Linked DNA regions of Daphnia pulex. The protein of the gene in region 1 interacts with the protein of each later gene in a pairwise test. Links are inferred from orthologs where the notes say so. Each region holds a gene or a part of one and is shown on either strand. Other genes may lie near its edges.

Region 1 (4,508 bases):
ATTAAACGTGGATTACCTTGTGATAGTACGTAACCTTATCACAAAACCGCACACGGTAGTCGAATGTCACAACGATATTACCTTATCAGCTGATTCATCACGCAATGTTGTTTCGGGACAGCGGTGATAATAAAAACGATCGTAAAAATGAATAGCCGTTATGACTCAATGTTGAGAAAGTAAACATCGAGCCTTGTTTTCGAAACTAATGCAGGTACACTAAACATGTTTTCGTCTCAAGTCCATCGTTATTTCAAGAAATTGTATACAGTGCATGTTGAGAGCCATCGCAAGCATCACATTCATAATAATATAAATGGGTGCAACACAAACAAAAAAAAAAAGATTTTGGAAGCATGGCCATTGCATCAATATTTAGCACTGATGTTAAAAAATAATTACACACGTCACACAATTCGCCCCCAACATACCATAACCGCACGTACACAAAGATATTGTTCATTAAACTGAGTAGTGGGAGTAGCTTATAGTCAGATGTGATATCCTGCAGCAAAAAGTTGAAAAGGGAAACTGAACACTTGTTTGGACGATCAAGATATATTTTTATTATAAAGGACAAGACTGTGTTTACCAAAAAAAAGGAAGGGATTGGACAGAACAGAATTTTCAAAAACCTATTTGTTAGTCCGGGCGGTCAAGGTAAATGGTCAACCAACATGATACAGGCTCTTTTGCTCTGTTTCAACTGATGGGGTATCTCACATCAGTTACTGTTTTTTTTTTGTGTTTTTTGTTTTATGCATTACCGAATAATTATTTTTGTAAAAAATCGCAGGGGATATATCAACGATCAACATTTCGCGTTTCTTATAGGAAATAATCGGCTTGAGGTTTTTTGGAAGGAATGCCACGAGTCTCTTGAGGGGCAGCTTCAAAAATCGTGAATTCTCGATGGAGATTTTCGTCCAATTCCAAAATGGCAGCTACATTTCCACACCTATTGCAATATTAAAAGTTTAAGTAATCATCTTGGTGAAATCTGGCGGGAAATTAAGACAAACCTATAGCAGTAGTTGGGGGCAGACCACACCGTCAGCACCGTTTCGTTAAAATGCCATTTGTAGCCTTCCATGACAAGCTGGTGTGCTCTGCAAATCATTTCGATGTCATTTGAGGTGTTGAAATGTTGCACAACATCGGAGCCAAAAAGATAACCGGCACCGCGTGGACTCACTCCCCATCCTTGCTGTGTATCTGTCAAAAGCAAACACCCAGAAATGAATTACCACTTTCAGAAGTATAGCCAATATTTATTTTCCTACCTTCAGGATCAGACCAAAGGAGATCACACATAGGTCCATCGTGAGGAACTTCCTGCTTTCTGTCAATTATTCGGATTTGATCCAGTGTCTGAATTGAAGGAGATAGCCCACCATGCACACAGAATATCTAAAATTTGAAAAACATGTCATGTTAGAGTTTTTATCAATGCATGTTACTACTGGAAGCATACTTTGCCGTCAATGATGGCTGAAAGACTCAGGTAGTCGAAAATTTCAGTACAATAGCGCCACACAGTGACTGAACCATACTTTCTAAAACATTCGTCATAGAAACCATAAACCTGGGTAATTTGACGTGATTCATGGTTCCCTCTAATCAAAGTGATGCGATCTGGATAACGAACCTAAGAAAGAAATCTCAAATCAGAAACAAGAGAAAGAAATGCTTAACAAAAATGTATACTACCTTTAAAGCTAATAGGAGAAGAAAGGTCTCTACACTGTAAAATCCTCGATCAACAAAATCTCCCATGAATAGATAATTTGTGTCTGGAACATCCCCACCCACTTTAAAAAGTTCTTTTAAATCATAAAACTGGCCATGGATATCACCACAAACCTAAAGCAAGCAAAAAATGTTAGTTATTGAGCAATAATCAAAAGCTTATGAGAAACCTACTGTGACAGGAGAGTCAACACGCTGAACATTGCTTTCTTCAACCAGAATCTCCCGTGCTTTGGCACACAAGGCTTTGACTTCTGATTCTTTAATGATATCACACCGTCTGAGTTGTTCGATCTGTCGATCCAAATCACTAAAGTCTGACATATTTACGTTGTCTGTTTCCTAGTTGACGAGAGGGAAATAAAGAATAACGACCTTGAGTATGTGCAACAGCCGACCGGTGATGTCATACACATTGACTTGGTAAATGAGGAAACTGACATTACACAGAACGAGAATAAGATAAAAGCTTTACCTCTTTGCGTTATTAATGAAATATGAGTGGTGATGGCGAAGAATGAATTCGTGACTGGATAAGTTGACGATCGAGAGTTAAGCCACGAATTGAATCCGTCCTCGTCGTTCTTCAAAGCTATCCTTACTTCCTTGGCTTGCCTTACGTTGCCGGACAAAAAAACTGGGCTTCAATCTAAACGCCATTAAATTATTCGGCGTTGCCAAGTTTCTCCGCAGTTTTAATTTCAAGCGCGCTTTTTATTCCTTTTTGTTGAAATATCGATATTGTTCTGAAAATGATTTACAAATATCTGGTAATATTATTAGTAAGAAAAAAAATTTACAAATAAAGATAACATCGCTAGCACGCTAGTAAAAAAAATATTTCGATACATTATTTATCAATTTTGAAATATTCTCTGACGTCAGTCGGCCTTCAGCCCGATGTTTGCTACCAAAACATGGTCACGATGGGTTTCGTTTATTCAAACGGGACCTTAACTAACGCTGACATTCAATTGATATTTTATTTCTCAGAATTCCTTTGGATTAAAAAAAATCGATTGCTTGAGACGGGCATGTTCAGGCTGATTTCTCATTTCTGATTCAGTCAAAACACAGATCTTCTGACGGTCGTTTACTTGTTTGCAATAAAGACTTTCATAATACAACCAACCTTGATTCAAGCCTTGGAAATCTGGTCTTTACAATGTAGCCGTTAACCCATTACTTATTTAAACACTTCCTGTTTCGACACTTGACAATGCCACTCGGCACTCGCTCAATCGACATTGGAGTTGTCAAATTTCTAATTCATTTTTAACGCAATTTTGCAACAAAAAAATAAGAGTTCTCTTGGCTTACTCAATGAGTATATCAATTAACAACATTTAATTATCACTCGTGTGTATTGCGGGCCGAATCAATCAGATTTTGAATATATAGTAATAAGATTTAAAATATTAGAAATGATTAAAAATTGTTAAATTTGAATTCTAACGTCCTAGATAACTAAATTAATTAAAATAAACCCGAAAGCCAAAAATGTAAGTTGCTGACTATTGCCAGCAATTCGGTGCCCATTGTTTGGTATGAATGGCGTTTTCGAACTCGTAGCCTGTGTCGACTCCGTCGTGACTCTTGGCCAAGTGGACAGTTTGGTAGTGGATGGACGGGGTGTTGTTGGCGTTGTTGTCGTTGTCTCACCCGTAGTCGTCGAGGTGCTGGCTGTAGTAGTCTTGGTGGTCGCCGCCGGTGAAGTCGTCGTAGTCGATGTCGTCACCCCAACAGTTCGTGAAATGTTGGTCATAATAGGATTGGGTCCATCACCACAAGTGTTCCTAAAGTCGTCGGTACTCATGTCCCAAACCATGGCTCCGCCTAGTCCCCTCTCCAGAACGTAGCGACTTTTGACATTGGCCATGACGGGATCGTCGTAACCAACCCAAGTCTTTGGCACGCTCGGAGTGGAAGCGTATGGACCGATTTGGAATGTCGGATCGACCACCACCTCCCAATTTTCGTTTTTCACATAATTACAGATTTCGTTGTATCCTAACGTTCCCGATTCACCGGTTAAAGGTCCTGCAGCTCCAGGTCCCAAACCGGGTGCCGGAAGCGTGGGATCCTCCGTGTAAGTATAATCGAGTGTCCAGGACTTTCCGTATAGGGGAATTCCCAGCATGAGTTTTGAGGACGGCATACCGCTATCTTTCCAGTACTGGACGACAGCATCGATATTGTTGGTTTCATCTGTATCCCAATCTCTTTTATAGAGCGGGGCGTGATGGTCAGTTAAAGGTTCCCATGGCCCGTGCATATCATAAGCCATAATGTTGATGTAATCAGCTGTCGTGGCCAACACAGGTATGTCGTATCCTAACGTTGAAAAAATGTATTAAAAAAACCTTTTTATTTCATATACACTATTGATTAATACTGACCGAGGTCGCTAATGGTTTTATTGACTCCCACAGCGATAGTGAGTGAATATTTCGGTGTCTGTAAATTAAATGCGGCTCGAAGTTCCTTCATTAATTCAGCAAGCCCAACTTTGTCGGACGCACTACTCGGATATTCCCAATCGATGTCCAGTCCATCAAATTTATACTTGTCAAGAAATGCCAAGACTGAATCGACAAAAGTCCTTCGGTTAGTCGAGCTGGCCACCATGTCCGAATATTTGGTGGTTCCGTCGTGAGAATCTGTCCAGCCCCCAATCGCGATGGTTGTCTTCAATTTCGAGTTTTGTTTCTTGAGATCGACGAATTTTGAATAAAATTTATTTTCTCCTAAATCAATTT
Region 2 (3,593 bases), on another chromosome or scaffold:
ATAAAATTTACTTCTAACCTGAAACGTGAAAGTCGCAAAGAGTGCTGCAGTCTAATACGCATTGCGTATACTAGATTGCCAATTGTCCACATTTCTTTTCCAAACATTTGATTTTGTTTGCTCCTTACTGTCTTAAAAATGAAATTTACTGCTTACAAACGAATTGCGTGTGCTTGCTTTTCAAGGCCTTTTCAAATCGGGCCGAACCAATCACATGCGAGAAAGGGTGGGCTAAAATTGCGCTGGGGTAGTGGGAGCACGTCTCTAATTTGGGAAAATTCTAAAAACTCGGCGGTTATAGCCGGATATAGCCCTTGCCGGAGCTATATTCGAAGACTCGGGTTATTCTAACGACATTACGTGGGCGGTTATCGCCCCACTTCTTGCCCCCGGTAGATTTGAATTAATTTATAAATGTTCAATTAACTCAAAATTTTAAATTTCAGATGGAAAGATCAGTTACTGGCCTAAGAACCCTGTCCAGACGATTCATCGTAAATATGGAAAAGCTTTGCAATTTGCGTAATATAATTTGACATATTACTAAAAAAAATTTATAATGTTTTTTTTTTATAATAGAGAAACAAAGATCATGGGTTTGACCCGTGTTACGCTTAAAATTGATGCAATCCCTATCAGTAGAGGTTTGGCAAAAAACGTCAGTTGCCAAAAGTGCAGCAGCAAAATACGCGTTGAGTATACTAGATTGTTAATTGTCTAGCATTTCCTGTTTAAGCATTTGATTTTTTTAATTTTTATTCTCCTTATCGTTCTTAAATATGAAATTTAAGTCTTACAAATAAATTGCGTGTGCTTGCTTTGCAACTGGTTAAAATTGGCGATGTTCCAGTCTGCAGAACCATCGAAAAAAGTCCGAGTGACAAGACTACCCAAAACCTAGAAGTGCAAATTTATACTCGATACATGGTTGTCAAATAGGGTTATATTGGGTGATAAACTGAGCAGAACCAGAGTCATCTAGCCTATGGTCGCTGCAGTCAACGTTAAATTCCAATAGCCCTCGACGACCATTTGCAACATCTATCTAAAATAGGGGTTTAATTAGGAGTAAAAATAGGGGTTTTCATATTTGGGGGTCCCCATATTTCCCATATGGGGATTTGACGGGAAGCTACTTTTTACTAGCGACTTTTGTATGGAGGCATAGGGAGGTCTCAACGAATGCCACGCCATCTAGGCTGTTGCGGCATACGGAAATACATTGAGACCCCCCTTTAGTAAAATGAGCGGAGCCCCCTCTTATGGGAAATTTAACAGGGAGACTGGAAATATTGAATTTTTTTTAATGGTTTAGTATCAAAGTTATAATAAAGTTCATGAAGAAAATCTCATGATGCAATTTGTTTCTGGTTAAAACCGGTTCTTAATGACTCCACTACGTGGTATTCATGGATAGTTGGTGTAATCATTTTACGAGTTACGACTACTAGATGGCAACCCGTGTAAGCACTGTCTCAACTTAGTAGTCTATGGCTCTATGCTTCAGTATAAAAACATAGCATTAAGAAAACGGAAATGTCGGCCGATTTAGAAGATGGATCTGAAACGGTGTCAGGGTTGTTTGACAAAGGATTGAAGATATATCATGGATTGTGTGATACCATGGATCCTTCCAACAGTCCTGAATATCAGGTATGTAGTCAGTATTCTATTCAAAGAATTTCTTGGTTTATTGTGTTTTTCAAACTATTTTTTTGAATGATTTATAGGCTAAAGTTAGAAGTTGCATTCAAATACTGGAGGATGCAACCAGACTTGTCAGCTCCCTTGGACTCTTTAGTACAAATGAAAGTGTTGATGAAGTTGCAACCAATGATTTGAAATTTTTCCTCTTGCCAGTGCTTCTTGGGGATTTGAGTCTGAAACTCAATTCAGATGACCGATTAAATATTCTTAATGTTGCAGAAGTTTATTTTCAAGATTTTCTTCAGCGATGCAAGGATTATTCAGTTGGAGGATTGGATATCCCTGACAGAGATCAACTTGTGAAATGTGAGGAACCACCAAGACATCCTGGTCCTATGGGGTTTGAAGAAATGGCAAGACAAAGAGAGGAGAAAATCAGGAAATTCAGAGAAGCCAAGGACTTGGAATCGAAACTCATTGAACTCAAGAATGCTCTTGAAAACCCTAGTTCAGATGAATCAATTGCACGTGAATACTACATATTATTGATGAAGAAATTTGTTTTCTCAACTATTGAAGAACTTAAATCCATAACTCAAGAAAAACCTATAGTTGAACACCTCATCAAAATTAAAAGAGGCGGTTGTGATGCCAAAAAATTACCACCATATGTGGGCAAACCATTGAAACCTATCATTATTACAAGGGATGCCGTCCAAAAGGCAGTTTACGGATTAGGATATCCTAGTATTCCCGCTATGACGGTAGAAGAGCTTGTTGATCAAAGAATGAAGGATGGATGGTACGTGTATTTAAAGCAACTAAATTAATTTATCAGTTCTAAAATCAATTTAATAAATGGGATTTAGGTATGGAAAATTAGGTGAAACCTCTGGCAATTCTCGTTCTCTGCTTGATGAAGCAAAAAATACAGAAATGGCCGCTTTGAAAGCGGAACAAGAAGCAACAGATTTAGAGAGAAAGGCTGAACTAGACCAAGAAGAACAACTTATCCGAGCTCGCCAATATGATGATTGGAAGGATGACCACAGGAGAGGCTACGGGAATCGGCACAACATGGGCTAATGTTATGGATTAAACATTGAATGTAATTCCAAAAAGAAACCCGTCAAATATAAATTTGCTTGTATAACCAACATTTGTATTCTTTCGTGTAAGATATTGCATACCTCTCAAAATATAATTCTTTTTAGATTACAAGAACAAATAGGAAATCAAAATCTTCAACCAAAATGTGTGGCCGAAAAGCCTTCATTTACATCATTGTTATTTTCTTCTTTATTTATGGGAATGTCACCGACACGTTCAGGAGTCAAAGAATTTATCTCTGCGTCTAGATGAAAGAAAAAATTAGTAGAGGAAATAGCAAGTATGTAAACATGAATACCGACTTACTTTGCTGCTGGGGTTTGGTATATTGAGTAATCCGTGATTTAGGTGTATACGAGGAAACCATTGCCTCTTCTGTTTGTGGAAATCTGTTGGGTGAGTGACTGATTCGTCCGCTACGAGTGACATGCACTCTCGTAGATGGGCTTTCAGATATGTTGATGTGCGGGTGAATTCTTAGTTCCTCAGTTTGACCATATCTATCGGGGGAACGAATTGGTCGCCCACTACGAGTAGTACATTGTGCCGATGGGGAAAATTGTATCTTGGGAATTCCAAGGAATTGGCTGGGTGGCAGAACTTTTTCCCTAAAATAATAATAATTTTGCTGTTACAACTGAAATTGCAAAGGAAAAGAATTGCAATAGGCTACCTCTTAGCTAAAGATGTTGGAACAAGAGGATGATCCAATATAACATCTATTTTTAAAAAATCCAATATCCATTTTAATCTTTTAATTTCATAATAGTTAAAAACTAATAAGCTTACTTGTAGAATGACTTCTTGGTCGAGGACTATCCGTGTGACATGGGGAC

Evidence for each region.
Region 2: the proteins of serine/threonine-protein phosphatase 4 catalytic subunit (region 1) and immunoglobulin-binding protein 1b-like interact in binary tests that used the Caenorhabditis elegans proteins (3 or more experiments, as listed by UniProt). The link is inferred for Daphnia pulex from reciprocal best matches to the Caenorhabditis elegans genes pph-4.1 and ppfr-4.

The regions. Positions count from the first base shown.
Region 1 is NC_060025.1:1,447,601-1,452,108, forward strand, and holds serine/threonine-protein phosphatase 4 catalytic subunit, read right to left. Parts: upstream 2,973-4,508; 5' UTR 2,882-2,972; intron 2,496-2,881; 5' UTR 2,225-2,495; intron 2,092-2,224; 5' UTR 2,074-2,091; coding exon 1,924-2,073; intron 1,864-1,923; coding exon 1,711-1,863; intron 1,649-1,710; coding exon 1,475-1,648; intron 1,411-1,474; coding exon 1,284-1,410; intron 1,216-1,283; coding exon 1,023-1,215; intron 959-1,022; coding exon 829-958; 3' UTR 229-828; downstream 1-228. Other genes in the region: probable chitinase 10, read right to left, coding at 3,209-4,083, 4,149-4,508. UniProt on the Caenorhabditis elegans protein: Protein phosphatase which plays an essential role in meiosis and in early embryonic mitosis.
Region 2 is NC_060028.1:6,377,127-6,380,719, forward strand, and holds immunoglobulin-binding protein 1b-like, read left to right. Parts: upstream 1-1,470; 5' UTR 1,471-1,536; coding exon 1,537-1,653; intron 1,654-1,730; coding exon 1,731-2,449; intron 2,450-2,516; coding exon 2,517-2,733; 3' UTR 2,734-2,804; downstream 2,805-3,593. Other genes in the region: endoribonuclease Dicer homolog 1-like, read left to right, coding at 302-392, 447-522, 580-721; uncharacterized protein LOC124209844, read right to left, coding at 2,892-3,001, 3,064-3,365, 3,431-3,476, 3,547-3,593. UniProt on the Caenorhabditis elegans protein: Probable regulatory subunit of serine/threonine-protein phosphatase PP4 which may play a role in meiosis and embryonic mitosis.